Linked DNA regions of Oreochromis niloticus. The protein of the gene in region 1 interacts with the protein of each later gene in a biochemical or structural test. Links are inferred from orthologs where the notes say so. Each region holds a gene or a part of one and is shown in the gene's direction. Other genes may lie near its edges.

Evidence for each region.
Region 2: the proteins of rab5c (region 1) and eea1 form a complex in vitro, tested with the Homo sapiens proteins (2 studies listed by BioGRID and IntAct, with this or other methods). The link is inferred for Oreochromis niloticus from reciprocal best matches to the Homo sapiens genes RAB5C and EEA1.
Region 3: the proteins of rab5c (region 1) and rbsn form a complex in vitro, tested with the Homo sapiens proteins (2 studies listed by BioGRID and IntAct, with this or other methods). The link is inferred for Oreochromis niloticus from reciprocal best matches to the Homo sapiens genes RAB5C and RBSN.

Annotation. Positions count from the first base shown.
Region 1 is NC_031969.2:26,577,468-26,584,814, forward strand, and holds the start of rab5c (ras-related protein Rab-5C), read left to right. Parts: upstream 1-4,185; 5' UTR 4,186-4,325; intron 4,326-7,347. Other genes in the region: kcnh4a (potassium voltage-gated channel subfamily H member 4a), read left to right, coding at 81-119, 555-910, 999-1,078, 1,218-1,291, 1,490-2,446. UniProt on the Homo sapiens protein: The small GTPases Rab are key regulators of intracellular membrane trafficking, from the formation of transport vesicles to their fusion with membranes.
Region 2 is NC_031972.2:57,279,290-57,286,541, reverse strand, and holds the start of eea1 (early endosome antigen 1), read left to right. Parts: upstream 1-4,196; 5' UTR 4,197-4,211; coding exon 4,212-4,292; intron 4,293-4,560; coding exon 4,561-4,638; intron 4,639-4,758; coding exon 4,759-4,871; intron 4,872-4,988; coding exon 4,989-5,043; intron 5,044-5,129; coding exon 5,130-5,195; intron 5,196-5,306; coding exon 5,307-5,337; intron 5,338-5,363; exon of another isoform or gene 5,364-5,762; intron 5,763-6,073; coding exon 6,074-6,178; intron 6,179-6,378; coding exon 6,379-6,500; intron 6,501-7,252. UniProt on the Homo sapiens protein: Binds phospholipid vesicles containing phosphatidylinositol 3-phosphate and participates in endosomal trafficking.
Region 3 is NC_031984.2:14,555,126-14,562,740, forward strand, and holds the start of rbsn (rabenosyn-5), read left to right. Parts: upstream 1-4,559; 5' UTR 4,560-4,699; intron 4,700-5,865; 5' UTR 5,866-5,991; coding exon 5,992-6,154; intron 6,155-6,993; coding exon 6,994-7,128; intron 7,129-7,223; coding exon 7,224-7,324; intron 7,325-7,409; coding exon 7,410-7,455; intron 7,456-7,547; coding exon 7,548-7,615. Other genes in the region: trh (pro-thyrotropin-releasing hormone), read left to right, coding at 1,254-1,443, 1,813-2,435. UniProt on the Homo sapiens protein: Rab4/Rab5 effector protein acting in early endocytic membrane fusion and membrane trafficking of recycling endosomes. Required for endosome fusion either homotypically or with clathrin coated vesicles.

The DNA of each region.
Region 1 (7,347 bases):
TATGCTATACGCGACACTTTACATGTTCAGTTTACAATGTGAGTGTAATGCTTTGTTCATTTTCACCTCCATACCTTTAGGGAGTAACACGGTTTCAGCTGACACCCAGGCAGTCTCAGGTATGTCTGCCTCATTAGGATGATTAATTTAGCCTTGACATGCTTGATACAGGCGTCAGCTAAATCTGTCTTAGCTTAAAGGATTAGTCAGCCTTGCATTGCATTTGAAAACTTAGAACTCTTGATAAATGTCATGTAGATATGAAAACACTTAAAATGCCTTTTTTTATAGCTGAGATAACAATGCTCCAGTTGCTGCTAGGTAACAGAGAGAAATGAAGCAAACAGCATACACTATATATGGTTTCTACACTCTAGTCATCAAGAAAAAACACTAAGCTTAATTAAAACTATCCTACAAGAGAAGTATTTCTGACACTATCAAGATCACTAGACTAAGAATTTTTGTAGCAAACAAATCTATTACCCAACCAAAAAGCATGCACAAATCTTTGCAATCAGCTTCATTGAGTTTTCCATCTGTTTTCTCCTCAGTTTATGGATCATAAACTACCCTATATCATTCAGGGAGCTGATGCAAAACACACAGACAACGTAAATTACTCTCAGCACCGGAGACTGCCTTTACTACAGAGTATGGGCAGCCCTGTCCATCAACCCTGCCTCAGCACGTTGCTAGGCGAGGAGCTCCGGCACATCAGCGCACTGCAGCTCTGCCGATTGCCTGCTCAGGGAAGCAGGGGTTGTAGTCCTTCCCCACAACCTTTTTTCAGTGAGGAGCTCTCTCCATCTCCTTTACCCAGTCTTACCAGTGACCTAGACTTGAACCATCGGCCTGCCAAACTCATGCCATCTGGTTCTTGTATTAGTCCTCTGAACCTCAGTCCCAGGTGACCTATTCATTCTCCTTTGGTCAAATATCAATAATCTGTTTGCATATATTTAAATGAATATAACACCCATTTGTCTTACTGTCAGGGTCGTGGATGGAATTGAGGATAATGATCACACATTTCAGTTTAATATGGAACAGAGCGAGGCAAAGACTAATGTTGCAGGTAAAGTGTCTGAAAACTGCATGATTAATGAGAAATTGTAAATATAAGCCTTTCTATTAAGGACTAGACATTAAATATAACCCAAAGTCGGGACAGATTAGATGAGTTTCTCACTTTTTAAAAAATAATCCTCTTTCAGATCGGTTACACGTCTGTAACCTGCTTCTTGAGACAGAAGAAATGAGACAGAGCGTCAGCAAACTGAGCAAAGAGGTATGTTCCCTTATTAGGCAAAAGCGCTGCTCCTTGAAATATGCCCAAATGTGTTTTGTGAGGACACAGTAACCTTTACCTTTGAACAAGAAAATCTAATCAGTTACAGCTTGAATTCATATCAACTTAACATGATAACAGTTACTAATAAACAGTTAACAGTTTTGAATAAAAAGTCAATTTTTCTCACTCTTTCAGGTAATTAACTTAAACCAAGATGTTTCCAACCTTGCCAAGGAACTCCATGACATAATGCATTTTCTGCATTCTCATATGACAATGCTCCACAATAACTCTCCAGCTTCCACATGTTCATGTGGCACTCAGGTGCTCCCCAACCCAAGTGTGACAACGTGTAGCCACTGGCAACCGGATGTCCCTTTAAATATCTCCACTGGGTTACCAACTGTTCATGAAATGATTAGCCATCCTGCTAGAAATACATGGCACTCCAGTGGAATACCCTCCCAGTGCACAAGTTCCGCCTTGCTGTACTCGTCAAGCACAATGCCATCCTGTTCACACCTGGGCTGCTCTGACAGAGACACAACTCAAAGGCTTCAGTGCTTCTCTAGCCCTTTCCAAACACCCAGAACATCTCCAGGCTCTCCCTACATGACCTTCTCTCATGCCCATGGAGGTCCATCCCTCCTGGGCATCAGTTCTGCCTTCAGTGGCTACCCATTAAGTTGTCAGGCCTCACACATGGTTAGTAGTGCACAAATCCACACAATAAGCAGCACCCACTCCTTATGTTCTACGGTAAACTGTGGCTACTCCCAGCCACCCCTAAGTGTTCAAACCAACTCGGATTCTTTACATAATCAGACCAAATCCCAGACACCTATCCATTTATCCACCACTCCTTCAGCCCAACCACAGTATCACACTGCCTTCAGCTCTTTGACGCCATCAAGAGCCCACACTTTGATATACACAGGATACGAGGACCAGCGAGGTACTGTCGAAGGCTCCAGACAGAATGATCCAGTAGGATCCAGTCCTGTCCACCAAACACAGGACCTGGCAAGTTCTCTGATGGAGCAAGTACCAAACATGGACTGCAAAGCTTCACTGTATAAAGAGAGGACAGAGACCATGGAGTCTCATTCCACAGGGGACAGCATTCTTGATATGAAAGAAAGGCCACACTGATGACATCCCTATCTGGTTATGCTATCAGTGAGTAAATAACAAAGCTGATGTAATGTTTAGAGTACCTTACCAAGAAATCTGGTGTGAAGTTTGAAATTAATAAATTGTTATTTAGCCAAATTCTCAATCAACTATTGGAATCCAACTGCCACTACAGAATAAACCTTTTTTTCCACTGATGGTTCTTGTGTTTTTATCTGGCATTAATAATGTTTGTGAATTCTGGTTGAGATTAAGGCATGGTCTGCATATATCATAGCTGAAGCAATCTTATTTTCAAGCCATACACTCTCACTCAAGCATTCAATGCAAAATTGTTTGACTAGTTATTCATTTTATTTGTTTATTTATTTTTTTCTATCAAGTGAATTGTCACTGCTGTATTCATCCACAAAATGTTTCCAGGGTTGACTTAGAAGCCACAAGTGGATGGGCAGCACCCCTGAGTGGTGATATGTCGTTACTACAACAAACACAAGACTGACATTTCGTCACACTGAGCTCAAAATAACTGATCTGAGTCAGATATGGCCTTTTGGAGCCACAACCAAGCTTTTGACCTGTAGAATGATGTAAAATATTCCTGAAACATGTTAATCATATTTGACCAATCTTGGTCCAACCAACCTGGCATATAGCAATGACATTTTCTACAGACTGCTGAAAAACCTTGATATTGTTATTCATTGGTAGTATCATGGCAGATATATTTATGTCCATGTGACTCTTTAGCATTTAACAACAATTCTGAAATTAATAATATACTGAGGGGCATCATGTAAGATTTTGTGTCATTAGTCCAAGCAAAGAAGGCCATTCTTTCACTATTAATTAATCTTTTGTTTTGAACATGTAAAGATGCAAGAAGAGATAGTGAAAGTTGGTGAGTTTAACAATGAACAGTGCCCATTAGTGGTGAAGAAAAATGAGTAGGCAGGTTAGAGTGGGTGGAAATGAGTGACAGGTGATTTGTGACAGAAGGATAGCAACAAAAGTGAAAGGAAACATTTACAAGATGTTAGTGTTTGGAGATGGTGGCACTTACAAAAAGGCATGAGGTTGAGCTGGGGGTGGCAGAACTGAAGATGCAAAGATATTCATTGGGTTGTAACCAGGATGGACAAAATTAGAAATGAGTATATCAGAAGGACAGCTTAGATTAAGTGGCTTGGATACAAAGTTAAAGAGGCAAGGATGTTTTGGACATATATAGAAGAGGATAGTGGATATACTGGGCAAACACTGAGCTGCCAGGCAGGAGGAGAAAATGAAGCCCACAGGAGAAGATTCATGTAGTGAAGAAAGATATGCAGAGGATTAGTGTGACAGAGGAGGATGCTAGGGATAGGGTGATGTGGCGGCAGATGATGTGGCGACCCCTAAATGAAGAAGCCAAAGGAAGATGAAAATCATACATACAGTTCGACATTGGAGACATCACAAGGATCATTAAAAATATTAGTAAAAATTTAAAAAGGATCCTTCTTTATGAAAGCAGCTTCCAAGCTTATCCCAAGCTTATTAAAAATATTACGCTAAACAAAATTTGTTACAAATTTTCACGCCATTTGAAAAGCACAAGTTTTATTGTCAGTGTACATAATTTTCATAAACACCATATCATTATATTATAATTATATTCAAATTAACATCATTTAAGATGTTATTTATGACTAGATATTATAAAACCTTGATAAAAATGCCGTGCTGCGGACTGGAGGGTCTAGCGTAACCCGCTGTCCTCATTGGTCAGAAAGCCACTGACAAAAAGTGGGAGGTTCCCGGAAAAATTGCTAACCGGAAGGGAAGGCCGGAGCCCAAGAAGAAGAAGAAGAAGACAGCTGCTGCCGATGAGACCAGCGAAGGAAGAAAAAGTAATGTAAGTAAAACAACTTGAAATTAAGAGTCATGTTGGTGAAGAGCAATACTGAACGTGTGTTGGATTATTTTGTCGACAAACTGTTTACTATAGTTTGATCTATTTTGTTATTATTATTTTTTTCTGCTTAGCATATCAGCCAAGTCCGGGCTCAACCGAAATGCCTTATCAGAGTGGATCGAGGGGAGCTACGAGCTGCCCTGTGGGACAAACATTCTAAATATTGAAAAAAATATTAATGCCACGGCAGAGCCCTGAGGTTGCTTAGAAAAATATGACATCGTTTCATGCCAGCAAGTGGACGCAATAAGAAGTCCCGGAGTTTCTCAAACGTCAGACGGCTGACGACACAGGGCCGAGAAAAGGAAAGTTGTCTAATGACGCTTTCGACTTTTGGCCATAGCTGCTAACACAGCTAATGCTATCAGAAGTCAAGTTTCCTTGCCAAGAACATAGCCTTTGTTTTCTTTGTCAGTTTAGGCTAGCAAATGGGTGCTATTGCCAAGTAAGCAACAAGGTTGATTCTTTCACGTTGTGTAGTCAGCGTTAATTTTGTTAGCCAAGTGCTTAGTGGAACTCACAAGTTACAGTTGTGTCGTCTACGTTAATGATAGCGGTTCCTTATCGCACCTAAATGTAACGTACCGTTTTAGCCAAGACAGGTGCATTGTTGTTTGATAGTTATTTTATCGATTGTTTTGAAGCAAGCCTTACCTTTACAGTTTAAGTTGCCTTATCATTGTGCTTAACCCGGCGTCGACCGAGCAAAACTTCTCACTTACTTTGAAATATTAGTTGTAGATTAACTAACTTAATATGTTACGTTCCTGCCACCGGTTAAGTGTTTAATAACTGGTTTTATGTGCGAGGTCTAGGCTCAGTCGAGGCACATCACAGTCGTCTTATGTTCTCTAAATTAGATGTACTATCAAGGCAGCTGTAATCTCTTTTCACAATCTTGTGCTTTTTATTATCAGTTGCATTTGTGCATCACATAGTGTGACAGAGTAAATGTGCGTACATAGTCTCTTGCTTACCTCTGAAGTTGTATTTATGGCAGTGCCTTCTCATCATTAAAATGTCATTACTGCTGACTTTGTGGTGTAACATCCGCATATTGCATCGTTGGGGTTGTTATGTGCCTGCACGTGTGTCTTCTTGCATTTAACAGCAAATACTTTTTTTGTATGCTGTGTATCTTCACAGTGTATGTTTATGGCTTAATAAGGGGAACGGAGCTTGGCCTTTGAGACAAAGATGTGATTTACAGTTGCTTGCCTGAGCTCTCATGTTTATGGCATGTGGACCTTGTCCTTCTTAAACAGCCACTCTTTTTGACAACCCAGCCCTAAAATAAAGGAGGACTGCAAATTAGTTGAACACTAGTATGGATAACATTTGGGTGCTATGTTTTGGCATTGCCTTTAAAGTTGTAAGTTGTTGTAGTTAAACGGACAGCTGGATCTACTAAGTGTCACTCAATCAACTAGACTCCATTTTTGAGTAAATCTGTGTAAAGGATCAAATATCAAATCCCATTATTTAACAATTCACTTAAAATCATTTGAAGTCATAAAGGGGACAAAGTCTGTTTTAAACAATTTGATGAGATAAAAGGTCTCAGTTTGGGATCCATCTGACCATCCATACAGATATGATTGTATTTTTCATTTCAGTTAGATTTTAAGAGAGCTTTCTTTTTTCTTATTGCTATAATTTTGGTAGGTAAAGATCTGACCTCTGGCTAATGCTGATTTTAGGCTTAGTGACTAAGGTTTTCACTCATTCATCACAATAGGGGGGGAAAGTGCCAGTGATGCTCGTGATGAGTGTGGTGTTTGCTTTTCCTGTATTGTGTCCACACATTCCCATCTAAAATCACAATGCCAAAGCTATTCTTTGTTTTTAACCCCCCCAAACTGTAAAAGAACCTATCTTGGATTCAGAGCATTTCCTGTTTCTTTCGAGTTCCCAAGTATGGCGCTGCTTTTCAATCTTTGTTTACAACCTAGGACAAACTATTACCTTTGGCGGCAATAGATAGGCCTTTAATATATGCTCATGTGTCCATGCAAATTTGGACACAGCCATCTGTACAAGCAGATGAGATTATAATCAAAAGACAAAAGTATGGTCATGCAGCCCCTCATCAGATACCATTTTTGCACGACCCCACCCTTCAAATAAAGTGAACTGCACATGTCTCTGCTTGCCTTCTTAATTACAGTGTTTTGGTGGCAGGTTGTTAATCTAGTTTATAAATTGAATGTGAAAGTGATTTTCTTTTATTAAAATCTAGTCTGAAGATCATACTGTCCAAGCAAACCAAAATTTATTAATTACAAAATGTCATTTTTAATTGTGTGACCAGGAATGGAGGATTAATCCTGTTATTTTCCTTCTGCAAATATGGTCTTCTGAGAAATGGTGTTAGGGTGTTAGGTGACACCTTGTTTTCTGCATAAGAAGAGCCTCGATGATGCACTAGTACAACAATACAAAATCTTCAAATCTAGCAGTCACAAAAACACTTGTAAACTGGTCATAGCAGCTGGTAACCTGATCTTTCTGCTTAATTTTTCAGTATAACTAATGTTTAACGATACCTAGAGTTTGTTCACGGAGCAAAAGCAATTAAAAAAATGTTTTCATTACTTCTTTGACTGTTTAAACGTATTTCATTTGTGCATGCATTCTCCAATTTAGATTGCAATAAACCGCAATCACTAAGTTCTTGGATATTATGCCAGCAGCAGAACATACAAGGGGGCCACAATAAATATTTCACAGCCTCTCCCTCTCGTCTGTTGCTTTTTCCTGCCTTTTCTCCTCCCCCTCTGACCTATGTCCCACTGTCTCTCGTTCCCTGACCCACTTCCCTGTGGAGGTTTGCAGTACCCATTAGGGATGCCATCACAGCATCCGTCAGATGCTGCTTAAGATGTGCGAAGGTCTCTATCAGTGTAACAAGGAGTCTCTGATTGCAAGCCTGTCAGCTGCTTCCAGCTCTGATGTTACTGTT
Region 2 (7,252 bases), on another chromosome or scaffold:
CACACACAGTGTGCTGGTGATTTCCTGGAGGCGGTATGGGGAAGTGTTGGCTCCTGGAGGAAGCCTTATTCCCACAGTGACTCAGTGCCAAACAATGTGCCTCTGCAAGATGTTTGAAAAAGAGTAGCTGCAAGTCTGTCGATGGACTTTACAAACTGCTACCTTGGGAAGTTTGTGAGGAATTTTGCTAAAAGAGATGAGGTAAAGTCTGCAACAAGTGTGGACGGCATTGTTATTACTTCCTCAGCGCACACAGTATCATCTCTAAGCACTAGTGACACTGAACAAGCCTTAAATCATGTGTGTATATATTTGAATGCTCTCAATGTGAGTGAAAACTGAGTAAATTAGAGAAAAACTTCTATATAGTGAACTGAATCAAACAAGAAATGGCACATATCCTCAGAAAAACTATAATCTAGTGTATTAAGCAAATGTTTTATATAGTGTATCTGCAGAAATGCCTTAGAAGACTCTGACAAATCCTGCACAAAGTCTCCCATTAAGTGCCTTCACAAACACAAAGTAAATGAACAGAACAAATCAAGCCTTATACATGCTGTCAAAACAACCCAGTTTTTGGAAGCTGGGCTCCATAGGACAGAAGAAAAATGTGGGTTTGCTTTTACGACCGAGGGTGCACAGTGACTGAATTTATGTTCCGCTGGGAAACATGGACCGAAAAGTATGACAGGAATTATGGTCATCTGATTCTATTTGATGCTTTGCTTTAAACTTTAATCCAGTTTCTTCACAAGTCAATATTATTGTTTTTATTTGTTGCTTTTTAATTGTCCACATTTAGGCTTTTGCTTCAGAACATAATCATATATTTATATATTTTTTTAAAAGTAAGTTTTTCATCTTTTTTCTCCCTGTGATTAGTTTGGGCTTAGTGTTTGGACTATACCATTAATACCAGGCTGTAGACTACTCCCTCTGGTGGCAATGGTACAGTCCAACCACAAGCACAAAGCATAGAAATGGAAAATTAAATTAAGTATGCAAAGAAGGGGGGGGGGAAACTGAAGCAAACCCCCAAACGTGCACAGTTAAAAATCAAACTGAGAGTCGTTTGTTTTTGGAGAAATAAACTGTAGATCGTGGAAATCTGTTTCTTTATGTGATTATTTTTGATGGTGCCTACTTCAAAGCGTTGTATTGTGCATGGTCCTTTAACTCCTGGGGGGGGAAGCTCAAATAAGGTCATAATTTAACTTCCTAGGGTACCATTGGCAGGAAAGCCCATCTAACATCTTTCCTCATCGTCCATGTGTGACTGGGATATTCTATTGTGTGGAAAATATTTAAATAAACACCGTTTAAAGATAATTACTATTGTGACAGATTTTTATTGAGTGCTCCAGAGCATGACGGCTCTTGTGTGTAATCCTGAATTTCACCAGGTTGTGTATCCTCCTGGTGCTGAGCCATCCTCTCCATGACCCGCCCATCCGTCGCTGCTGTTCCCCGAGTCCGGTCAGGTGTTCGCCGTTCACAGACGTAAACTTGGCATTTTGAAAACTGACAGGATTTCTTGACGGGACAAAACACAATCGAGGCTATGCTCAGACGGATACTGCAAATGGTAAGCTATCCGGGGGACAAAGCAATTATCAGGATCGATTTTTGTTTAGTCAACTGGAGACGTTTTCCTCAGAAGACACAGGCCTGTCTATGTCTGGTTTCGTGGTGGAGACGAATGTTTTGATACCGAACGTATCGCTGATGGGCGGGGTTTACGTTTAGCTAGTGAGAACTGGTAGGCTGAAGTTCCTGCAGGTCGGAGTGAATACATCGAGCGCTCCTTGCGTTGGGCTGACACAGCTAACCATCAAATGCTAACTTGGATAAAACGAGCATGCTAAAGTGGACAGGAATGAAACTAGTCTGTGGATTATAATATACTTAGATTTTATACCTCTCAAGCCTTATTCCATTATGGGAGAGCTTTAAAAGCTGATATATTTGGTCACTGACACAGTTTCTATTCGTACTTTCCGTTAGCTAGCTATGTTACAGGAGTAGGTTAATTCATCGTCTTCTCGTCACATGCTAACAGTGACGTTAGCTACCTACTAGTGTTGGGAAGTGTTGTCATCTGGCTGACCACAACGTAGAAACACGTGTTTTAACCAAGTAAACACCCAAACTGTTCATGCTGGCAGGGTTAATTAAACTGGCTGCTTGTCTTTAAAGTTAATTGTGAGAGTAATGAGCAGAGGTCAGCTACTTGGCTAGCTTCTTAGAAGACTACATTTACCACAAGGCATCGCTCCTCGCGTTAGTTTGTATACATTGGTTAGATCACGATTTAAAAAAAATCTTTACCCATTCCGTTTTTATTTAGGTCGGTCCATTTTTAAAGCACTTAGTACTGTGTTGTTTTGTGTTTTTACACATTATCTGTAGCCTTGTAATCATTAACAGCGAAGCTGCAAGGACGGGAAGTTGTTAAGGCAGAAGAGGTTAAACATACCCGGAGACCTCGAACAGAGAGGTGAAGAAAAGTGCAGGCAGGGTGGAGATAAGTGTCAGGGCTGATTTGGGACAGAAGCATGGCAGGAAGACTGAAAAGTCCTATTATAAGATGGTAATAAGAGACAGTGGGACTGACAAAAAGGCCACTCAACCTGCAGGTCTCCAGGTTGAGTGGTTTGGAGACAAAGTTAGAGAGAAAAGGCTGATATAGTTTGGATATGTTGAGTACATGCAGAGGGTTGGTGCAACAGAGGGGGATAGTATGGCTAGGGTAAGATGAAGGTAGATGATCCCCAATGGCAAGTACTAAAGGGAGCAGCCAAAATAAGAAGTAGCAGCTTTGTAACCGTCACCACCTTGTGGCTATTATTATGGGTTAATAGGACTAAAGGGAGACATACTCTGTTTAGAGAAGACAGTTCACATCTCACCCCTTTTTATATAAGAGAAGTTGCTTTTGAACCACCTTATTTACAGAGTGATTAGACACTCAGGTAATTTTATAGGTTCAAATTCTTATCAGGCTACAAGATACTGATTGCAGTTCATTTTATAACTTTGTCATGTCACAGTTGCAACACCACCCCTGACCTTTAGGAGATTTCAACAGGTTTTAACAGCAGTTTAAAAGTGTACTAAGATGACAGATATTGTATTTCCAGTCCATTTCAAAACAATGTATAATAATAATAATTCCACTGGTAATGCAGTTGCTATTATTGAAGAAGGCCAGTAGTATAATTAAATTTTGTGTATTTTTTAATGTATGTATATATTTTTGAGGCTAGTAATATTACATAACACACACACACACACACACACACACACACACACACACACTAACACTGTTTATTGAACTAGGGTCAAAGGTTGCTCCGTAATGCAACCCAACCCTTAAGTGTTTTGTCAGCCTTTAAACAAGCTTGGGTCAGTCTTTGCTGAATGCCCAACTTGCACAAACACTAATTTTGACTTCTTTCATTCATGTCACCTGCACCAATAAATCCTTTTTGTGAATGGAAAACCTGCGGAACACCTAGCTAATGTGTTTGTTTTTCAGGCCAGTGGGCTAAAGCCTTGCACATTTCATGAAGTCACAGAAAATTTGTAAACACATATGTCAAATAGTTATTGATATGCAATAACACAGGAAAGGCAGGTAGTCTAGGTAAATCATTGCTGCTTTTAAAACCGAATCTGTGACTGAAGCATAACCACACCAGCACCACAGCGTCATACATGTGAAATGCTGGAAGCACTGATAGGGACTGTACAGGGAAAATCAGTCATGGGGAAATGTAAAAAATATTTCCTAGCCAGATTACAAAGTGTGCTCCTGACATGACACTTAGCATTGAGATCAAATAGTTCCTTCTTGGTTAGTTAGATGTTGTTTCTCACAGTCGAGGTAATTTCTTTCTCCAGGCAGCTTTCACGTGTTTCTTGCTAGAAAGGCTTCTGTCTTGCCTCTTTATCATGAAGCCCAGGTGCCCGATAGCTTACTTTGGCCTTAGCAGTTAGGGCTAGAATGACTCTTGGGGTTCTAAAAATCTTCCCTTGAAGAAGTGTCGAAGCTCCAGATCAGTGCCTTAACACAATCCTAGTTCCACATGGTCAGGTTATGCATTGGTTAGCACTGTTACACAGTAAGAAGATTCAGGGTTTGAATCTCCTGGTTGGCTGGGACCTTTCTATGTGGAGTTTGCATGTTCCTCCTACAGTCAAAAGACATGAATGTTAGCTTGGCTGTGGAAGTGATGAAGATAATTTGCTTAGAGGTGCATAGAAGAACTCACGGATTGAATGTATGGGTAAATGTGACTTTAGGTTCTTTAATATGTAAGACTTTACATAGACAGATATGTGCCTTTGTTAGAGATTATTAACTACTATAAATATTACAGATGAAGAGAAACACGAGTCACCTCAGTTATATTTTAAATCTTAAAACAAATGGTGTTGTTAATACTTATAACAATGTGATTTCAATAGATCACATTGTTATAAGTTTTGGACTTTTAATTTTGTCACATTGAGGTATTGAGCTTCAACATAAAAGACTTATTAACTGTTCACCAGACTCCCGGGAAGGGAGGGTCCCAGAATGCAGAGTCAGAGCAGCCCAGCACCGACCTTAACCACGATCAGACATCTGAGGTAATGTGGATGCACTTTGCTTTTAACTGAGAACTTCTACTTAAGTTTTTTTAGTTTTTGCTGTCATATGTTTTTTTTTAACTGAAGCAGATTTCAATGATGACATGCTTCTGTGTGCAGGGCTTCATCTGTCCTCAGTGCATGAAGTCTCACAACTCTGCAGAGGAGCTGTTCAAGCACTATGAGCTGTTCCATGATACCGGAGAGCTCCCTGCTCACGTGGCCCCCACTAGGTGAGACGGGTATTAGCATTTATGATCAAAGCGTAGAGACTGACCTCAGTATGTTTGTGGCAGTGTTTAATTTACTTGTTTTTTTTTTAATCAACATGGTATTTTTTTCTCTATTAGGGAAGACCTCACAATGCTGCGGCAGGAGGTCCAGGACCTGCACGCTTCTCTCAAGGTATAGCTGCGTTTAAACAGTACCTGTTAGCGAGCGGTGTAAATGATTCTGCAAACTTGACTTATGAGTGTGTTTTTCATGGTTAGGAGGAAAGATGGTTCTCTGGGGAGCTAAAAAAAGAGTTAGACAAAGTCCAAGGACACCTGAAGCAGGTAAATGCTTCAAGATTAAAAAACAAACAAACATGTTTTAATGAAGAGGTGACTTTGTGAATATAAAACATGATGCTAATGAGTGTTTCTCTCATTCCCTCACGTCCGCAGAACGATGGGCAGATGAGCGCAGATGATTCAGGTAGGGGACCTGTGATGGACCGAGCAGTGAAAGAGACTTAGGCACAAGTTAAAGTCCAAAGAAATGATTTTTTATTTAACCCAAAAAACATAATTGGTTAAATCATGCAAAAAGAATCAAAATCTTGGGCCCATAAAAGAGGTCAAAATAACAGAACTCTACTCAAAATTGACAACACTACTGATAACTCAAACAAACTGACCTAACTTAACGAGACAAAGGGGAAACTTAAATAGTAGCTGATCAGCCCACAAAAAACACGAGAAGGGGTAAAACACACAAAACCAAACATAATGAACTCCAATCCCCCCCCCATGGTCCCGAGTTATGGCATGAACCAATTTGCAGTTTTCCTTTAAAGCTCGCTCCGCCCCTTTTCCACCTCTTGGCTCCTTAATCAAGGGACTGGAACAGCTGCAACTAAGGTAACTCAGAAAACAAAAGATTAATCATACATAACAGTGTAAACTAAAATGTGCGCACTTATTTTAGAATGCAGTGTTATGTGGATATGTGAATTAATTGTAAACCAAAACCAGTTATTTATTGTCCTTTAAATTAATTCCTATATTTAAAGAAAGACAAATGTGAATGCAATGTTACTTATAAGCCTCTACACTAACATGGTGGATATTACCACTGTGTGGCTGTAAGTGCAGCCATCACAGGACCCTTAAAGTGCACATGCAACTAGACAGCAGATCATCAGTCGCTAATATGTCATGCTGTTTTTCAGTACTTGAAAGGAAGCTGAATGAAGCTGAGACAGAGAAGTTCAACATCAAACAGATGAAAGACCTGTTTGAGCAGAAGGCTGCCCAGCTGGCCACAGAGATAGTAGGTTAGTGTTCGGCCGGACAACTGGGAGGCCTGTGTCTGTGGGTCTACATCATTATTTATTTATTTTTCTTTTACAAATCCATTTGTCTTTATTCAGATTTTTTTTTTTTCAACCCAGCCTCAAGGAATGAGTATTTTCTCGGATAAATCTGATAAAAAAATTTTGTTTGTTTTTATTTTTTCCATTACTGAATCCAACAGATTTGAAGTCCCGTTACGATGAGGAGAAAAGCCTCCGGGAGGCTGCTGACCAGAGATTAGCAAAGTTGAACGAACAACTGCAGGAAGCGAAGGAGGAGAACGAGCGACTCCAAACAGAGCTGGTACAACAATGCGCTCCAAGTACCTTTTGTTATTTATTCTGTTCTCACGAGTAAATGTTTTCTTTAGAGTTTGACCTCCACAGTGAATTCAGTTTGACTCTGAGCTGTGTTCCTGAAGGATCAACACAGGCCCTGTCCACACATTTGTCAAAGATGTGTTGAAAAAAATGGAATCTTAAAAAAGTTTTATCACCAAAAAAAGTAAACTGGCCCCGGCAGTAGAGTCGTGTGGTTCAAACATATAATTATGCTCATTGTCCTATGCCGTCTGGCCTGAACGGGTGTTAACTGTTCCAAGTGGTTTAAGGAAGCTTCACCCAAAAATGCAGCTAGGTCCTTTTTTTTGTGTCTCTACATCATTTCAGTGGATTTTAAATCAAACTATCAATATGTGATATAAGTGTAGACTTACAGCTTTAATTTAAAGGGCTTAATGAAAAATGTGCATTACCTGTTTAGAAATGACAGCCATTTTTATTCATATTCCCCCATTTTCATAAGATCAAAACAATTGGAAAATTGATAAATAGCTTCATGGTCAGGTGAGGCCTGTTCTCTGATTATTCCACGACAAACTAAGCAGGTGAAGAATCTCGAGTTGATTTCAGGCATTGATCTTAGCTTTGATAGCCTTTCATTCAAACTCTCAATATCAGGTCCATAGAGATTTTGGCGCAAGTGAGGGAGGCTATAATTAGGTTTAAAAACCCAGATAAAAGCATTAGAGAGAGAGTAAAACTTTTAAAAGTGGC
Region 3 (7,615 bases), on another chromosome or scaffold:
CCATGTAAAACTTGTTAGACCCACCTCTGATACATTCAGCGCTGCTGCTTCGTGACCAGAAACCGCATTAGGCTATACAGTATGTGCTCAGAAGAACCAGATGGGGTGAGCCCACCCTCCTGAGCCCCATGACCTAAGGGTATTTAAGAAAAGCATGAATAGCCCACATCTCGCTACAGCCCTCGTTGGCACACCATAGGAGATGTCCACATTTTATGATAAGATACTGACCATTTTTGTAATCATCTAAGAGTAGCAGTAAAAACAGTACATACTAAAATAAAATGAAAAAAGCACGGAATACACACAGAGACGTATATATATTATAAACTAGTGCATTACACTCAACTGAATTTCGCAAATTTTAAAAATAAAGTTATTTTATTTTCATATATTCATCACATAAATCTCACACAAATCCTACCTTCTGTTAGTCTCTGTCATTGTTTGTTTTTTGCTGTTATTGTTGTTTTTGTTTACATTTCACTGAACACACTCACACACACACACACACACACACACACACACACACATATATATATACATATATATATATATATATATATATTGAGCAGAAGCTCCTATTGGCCGACCATTCACCATATCCAGTTGCGCACGACTTGGTGACATCAATAGGGACGAGGGATCCTGAAAAATTACTCCAGTGTTGGTGTGACGACAGTGACCGTATCGTATAAATGCCGGGACGGAAAGTTATCTGCTCATACCTCTAGACTTGGCCTTTAAGGTCACCAACTGCTGCGAGCGACTGAAAGCAACTATTATCACTGCCGATAGTGCCAGAAACTGGGGAAAGGACAATATTTTACCAGGTGAGGCTTTTAGACTACTCTCATTGGAAATGTAAATATGTCTGCTGGTTAAGGGTTGTTCTTTAACTGATCTGGATAGATCTCATGCATCATGTTTTATTCATATTTATTTGGTGAGTCTTTAGAGTTCTCTTAGATTTCTTTGTAAAACCAATCTTCAAAAGCTGCTGCGATCTCAAAGCCTCAAAGGCTTGGTTAGCAGCTTTGCTAAAACTGGATTTCTCAAGATAAAAAATAAAAATAAAAATTGTACTTTTAAAAAAGTCTCATTTCTATTCAAAAACGAAACGTCTGGTCCCAACATTGACTTAAATACAGTGGTGCAAAGTAGACAACAAACCAGTTCACCCACGTTAATATTGTTTTTCTTTAATATTTCCTATCTAACGTGATCTGTTTCAGACGAAAAACTAAATTACCATGAAGTCGACATGTCTGCTTATCCTTGCATCTCTAACGGTCTGCAACTTGATGGTGTCTGGAGGGCAGAGCATGTCTGCTGAGGATGAGACTGACCGAAAGACCATAGACGACATTATTTTAGAGAGAGCAGAGACTCTTCTGTTACGGTCCATTCTCAAAAAGCTGCAGGATGAAGACGGAAGAAATGGTGCGTAAAACACATGTTAAAAAATTATTTTCTGAGTTAAGAAACTTGTCATAAAATCTTATTTCATACGATACTGATACTTCGGGTATATCTTAGATGTACCTGAAAGTTGCATCACATTCTCAGTAGTTTACAGTTTCGTGCGCACTTTTCAGGTTAAATCACTTGGAGCAACATTTTTGTTTAAGTAATTGATAAACAGTTAACATCGGGAATGCAAGAGAATATGTCTCCTTTATAATTAAAAAAAAAAAAAAAATCAAAGAAACAGGATTTCGACTATCTGCGCACGCGGTAGAGAGAAACCGGGATTTAATCAGTGACTTCTGAAACATTTAAGAGCTACTTTCCTCTCTTGTTTTCTTCCAGACGGGTATTACTCTCAGCCAGAATGGGTGACAAAACGACAGCACCCTGGTAAGAGATATAGTGATGATTTGGAGAAGCGGCAGCATCCAGGAAGGAGAGAAGAGGACGAGGATGAACAGTACTTTGATGTTCAAAAGAGACAGCACCCGGGCAAGCGCGAAGATGAAACGCACTCTTTCCTAGAGCCGCAGAAAAGGCAGCACCCGGGAAAGCGCTCCACGGCGGGTCACAGTTCTGACAACCCCATCCTCCTGCTCAGTGAACTTTCAAAACGGCAACACCCAGGCAAGCGTTACCTGGTGCTGCACAGCAAACGCCAGCACCCAGGTAAGCGTCTTCTAGAGGATGAGGACGGCGACAGGGACTGGGATGCGGACGCGGATGGAGAAGAAGACCTCGCTGAGATGGAAAAGCGTCAGCACCCTGGGAAACGGTTTTGGGATAACTCGAGTGCGGATTTAGGCACAAACAGTCCGTGTGACGTTTTGGACCCTGCGAGCTGCAGCAAGACCAGCCTGCTGCTCGACTTTTTAGACAACGTTAACAAGGGCCACGCCGAGGAGAAGAGACAACACCCGGGTAAAAGGTTTGCACCGGATGAGGATTTAGTGGATGGAGAGTAGATTAGACAGGAGTGCGTATTTCGCTGTATTGTAAACAAATAAATGTATAAATTAAATGACCACAATGAATTATAAAAAATGAAAAAAAGATCATTAAACCTTTTGTGCCACCGCTTGTTCTTTTGAAGACATTTGAGACATCATTACCGCAAGCCATTTGTCTGACATTTTCTTGGAGAGCTCATGCGTAATTGCCATCCAAACTTTGGAATAACTATATAGCTGTACAGACGTTTTTTTTCTTTCAGAAGAGTTTGTGCCATATGTTGATCTTTTAATAGCTATCGTTATTAATAGCATTCATTCAGTTGACGAGATTATTGATTCTTACATTGAGGCAGATGATTAAAACATTAGTCAGATGGTTTTAGCGATGTTGCCTCTGTGAGGCAACAGGCGCTCGTCAGTTCAGCTTGTATTAAGATCAAATTAAAGTGTCTATGTTTACACATAAAAGCTCCCTCCTCTGTTCGATTTGCGTTTCATTATTTTCTACTCATGTAAAATATAATGAATATCACAGCAAATAAATTGTGTCACTGCTTATTTTTCTACATTACTGCATGGTTTACGTAATTTGAAGCTAATGTTGTAAATTAAAAGCTGCCCTTGCCTTAAAGTCAACCACCAATGTTTTTGTTGGACAATAAACGCATTGGTAAAAACGTATGGTTTGCTTTAGTTCCAGTAAATGCAATGCCTCATGGTGCACCATTAAACTGTTGATTCAACACAAGCCTAATTAGTATGTAGTCCAAAGTAGTCACCCTGCCTAAGCCTCTTAGAGAATGATTTATGCAGTTTAATAACAGGCAGAGTGTGTCAGATATCCACTCCCCAGCTTAATTGGGCTCATTCCATCAGAGCCTTGGGAGCAGCTGTCCACCAGCCTGATCAATATGCAAATTATTCATGAAGCATGTGAGTTAACGATGGAGACCTAATATTGGAGATGTTTCGCCGAATTGAGCGCACACACTCACAACTCTAGCGGAATAGCCAAGTGTCAGTGGACTGGCAAAGTGTTTATTATATAATGAGCGATATATATATATATATATATAGATGAACAATTCACACAAAGGCTATTTTAGAGCACCAGAAAAGAAAGTGTGGCTTTGGACTTTCTTTTGGTTGTGTAGGACATACACGCGCTGAAACACATTTTAGAGATTCTGTTGTATTAGTGATTGCATCATTTTTTGTTTATGAGCCTTTCCAATAAAACAGCTTGTGAGCCACCAGGACAGGCTGTGCTCTTGGTGCCAACAGTGATAATGAGTAATTTAACTAAATAAATTATTATTTCATTAAAAAAGAAATAAATGCTTGAAAAGAATATTAAATAATATTCTCTTGAAAAAGAAAATCAAAAATTAATATTTGCACAGTATATCATTTTGTGAAGCCCATGAGACAGGTCGAAACTGAGATGGGAGTCCATACTATTCACCTATTCTCCGTGGATTGCTTTGTACCCTCTTGTCAATAAATGCCAGTCAGCTAAGTGCACAGTCCAAGTAGCCTTTAAACTGTGTTTTAAACGAGTGAAAAAAGGCTGTAGGATAAAACTAGGGACCTATAGCTTATACAAACTGAAACTGGATCAAATGAAGGTTCTAGGGTTACATAATACAGCTGGATTTACCTTAAGGCTCTTAGTTGCAGTTAATGAAGCTGGCCAAACCCAACCACACATCCCAACCACAAAAAAACACACCCTTAGTTATCCAGCCTTGAATTTTTCCCAACCCCCTCCATCGGGAATAACAAACTGTTGTTAGAGTTAAAAAACGGTTTATTTACGGTAGCAGTGCAGGTTTGCACAAAAGACAAACAACCAAAAGTTGGATATAACAAATATGTACTTACATTGCGGAGAAGTTTCCTGATGGAGCGCCAACCGCAAAATCAAGTTTTGTCCCTCCTCTCCTTCCATACCGACTGGATGTCAGTCACATGACCAGGCAGGGCTGCTGGCGCTGTTGTGCTTCTGTCAGTGAAAACGCAAACTGTCAATAACACAGCTACTGTCAGGCTCAATTGTAGGCTAAGTGCAGATTTTTTATCGCGTCCAATAGTCAGTAGGTATTTGTTTGCTTTTGTGCAGTTGGAAGTTTGTTAATGTAGCGTTTTTGAACAGCGAGAGGGGAGAAACGATTGCTAAAGAAGGCGAGAGCAGCTGCTAGCTTTCTCCTGCTAACACCACATCCTCTGTGTGGTATAACGGCGCCCAAAGTTAGCCTAAATAATAAACAATAAAGGTAAGTCCTTTCATGGCTCGTATCCAGCTATCACTTAGTGAAACACCTCTCGTATGCAGCTAGGGAACCTAATACTTCCCGTCCGGTTAAGCGTTTTTTTTCCGCTAAATACGTGGGTCGACTTAAGCTAAGTTTAGCTATTATAATGCAGTTGGAATAGTAATTTATCTGAATGTGCATAATAGTATTCTAATCAATATTGTTACCTTAAATTTATGTATTAATTAATGTATTAATTTTTTTAGATGTTCAATACTGTGTGTAAGTATTGCGCCACACTTCATTCCTTTATATTTTTCATCCAATGAGCCGGACTTTAATGTATTTTTTAAGTGGTCTTGAGCAATGGTCCTACACGCTTTCTGAAGATCTTTTAATGCTTTTTAAAATTAATTTTCAGTCCAGTCCTTGTACCTGACCATTCTCAGAGGAATGTATTTTTGTTTTTTAAGCAGCTTAAAATTGAGTTAACACTTATGGATCATTCAAGCATACAAACATTCTCTCTTCTCAGAGTAGCGGTTTTGGTTCTGAATCAAATCATTATTTTATATGGAGGAGTCCCACGGAGAGGTATAATAGCGTCTACAACCATGATTATGGGCTGCATTTCAGCCAGCTGTGTTGGGGACGTTGGCAAAATGGAATGAATCATGAACTCAAAAAAGCATCACCAGATTCTGAGCCACCATGCAATAGAATCTGGAAAGCGTGTGATTGGCAGTGGCTTCATTTTTCGAGATGACAGTGATCCCAAACACACACCTCTAATGCAGTAAAAGCATACCTGGATAGAAAAACACACTGTCAATCATGGATTTGCCTCTGAAGAACTTGGACATAAACATTATTGAAGCAGTGTGGGGTAATTTTGACAGAGAATAGAACAAAAGACAGCCAACATACAAAGAAGAGCCTTGAATTTCTTTCAAGAGGCGTGGAGAACAATTCCCGAAGATGACCGAAAAAATTAAAAGAACGTTTGCCTAAGAGAGTTCATCCTGTATTGCTATGACCTGTATTGGTCATAGCAAATATTGACTTACAAGCTTGTTAGAATTGTACAAACTACGTTTTTACATTGCAAAATATAAATAAATGATGGGTGGCTCAAGTCTTTTGTTCAGTATTGTATGTGGCCTCAGTGTACTTTTCTCATTCCTCAGTGTCCTGGGATTTTCTCAGGCATTATGGAGCTACTGTGGGGTAGGTTGCACACCCCATGAGATGTGGCCCAAAGTGAGAACGTGCCACTTTGCATCCCCTCTGCAGCAGCACTGACGCTTGTTGTCATGGCCTCCAGCTACCCGCCCCCCTTTGAGGGCACAGGTGAAGTAAAGGAGGGTTTTCTTTGCCCACTGTGCCTAAAGGACCTTCAGTCATTCTACCAACTCCAAGACCACTATGAAGAGGAGCACTCTGGAGATGACCGCCATGTTCGGGGACAGCTAAAAAGTTAGTAGCAGATTCTGTGTTTTACTCTTTGCTACAGGGCTAATTTACTCCTGTTGTGTTCTAAAGACACAAAAATCGTACATTGTACTGTCTAGTCTGGGAAAAAAAAGGGCTTTTGAAAGGAAACCTATTATTATTCATTTTTAGTTTAGTATTTTTATTTGTGGACCCTGCTAGTGTGACTAGTCACAAGTTAAATGTATTCTTGTTTATCTTATACTGGGTCTTGTGTCAGCTTGAAGTTTATCCTTTAGAAGTGAAGAATTTAAGCTTAGTTTCCCCTAAGAGTGTGGATGAGTCTTATATGGTCACTACAGGAGCTGTGTGCTGCAGATGAACATATTAAGTACTTCTCATTTACATCATACAGAGCCAAGAGTAGAAAAAAATGTCTACAGTCTGATCTTGTGGCTTGTAGGGGATATATATATATATATGTACACACAATTTACATATAAAAGAGGAAGTATAATTGGTCGCCTTTAAACAGTGCAGTTGAGTATAAGAATACTGCTGTACTGGATTGTAGGAAATTGCTGTCAGGCTGAATTTGCAGTCTGTGTTGGCTGCTGCAACTTTCTACATAATAGGATTATGATTGAATTAGGAAAAGGCTGGAAGGATGCATGTGCAGGTTGGCTACATTTGCATATTAATAGTACTGTAATGAACTTGAAAATAGAAAAACATGATTACAACAATCGCATGTTGAAAGATGGATGAATAAACTGAAAATGTGGTCATTATAAATATTAACTCTGGATCAGCATAAGAATAACAGATTCAGGATACATTCACACACTGTTTCAATTTTCATGATATTGTCTCACTGTTTTCAGGTTTGGTTCAGAAAGCAAAGAAAGCCAAAGATAAACTGCTGAAGAGGGATGGGGACGACAGACCGGATACTGGCAGTTATGAGTCCTTCTACTATGGTGGAGTGGACCCATACATGTGGGAGCCTCAGGAATTGGGTGAGACTGCAAAAACTGTCATCTGTAGCACTGCTAACCAACAATATTTGTTAATGCAAGACACTAAAGAAATATATTTTTCTTTTGCTTTTTAGGAGTAACTAGAAGTCATCTGGACTTGTTTAAAAAGCACCGGGCAGCCAGGATAGATCATTATGTCATTGAGGTCAACAAGCTCATCATTAGACTGGAAAAGGTTTGCTTACATTACCTCATTTAGACAATTTTTTTTTTTTTTTTATAAATTTGCAACTCATTTACCATAAACTATGATGTTTTAGCTGACATCATTTGACAGAGCCAACTCAGATGCTGCTAAGATCAGAGGTTAGTTTTCATTATAATTCTGAATATTCTTTACATATGTAACTGTGCTTTATATAATATTTTAAATAATAAGAATTTATCCCTCTTTGTAGCCATTGAGAAGTCTGTAGTGTCATGGGTGAATGATTCAGACGTACCGTTTTGTCCCGACTGCGGAAAC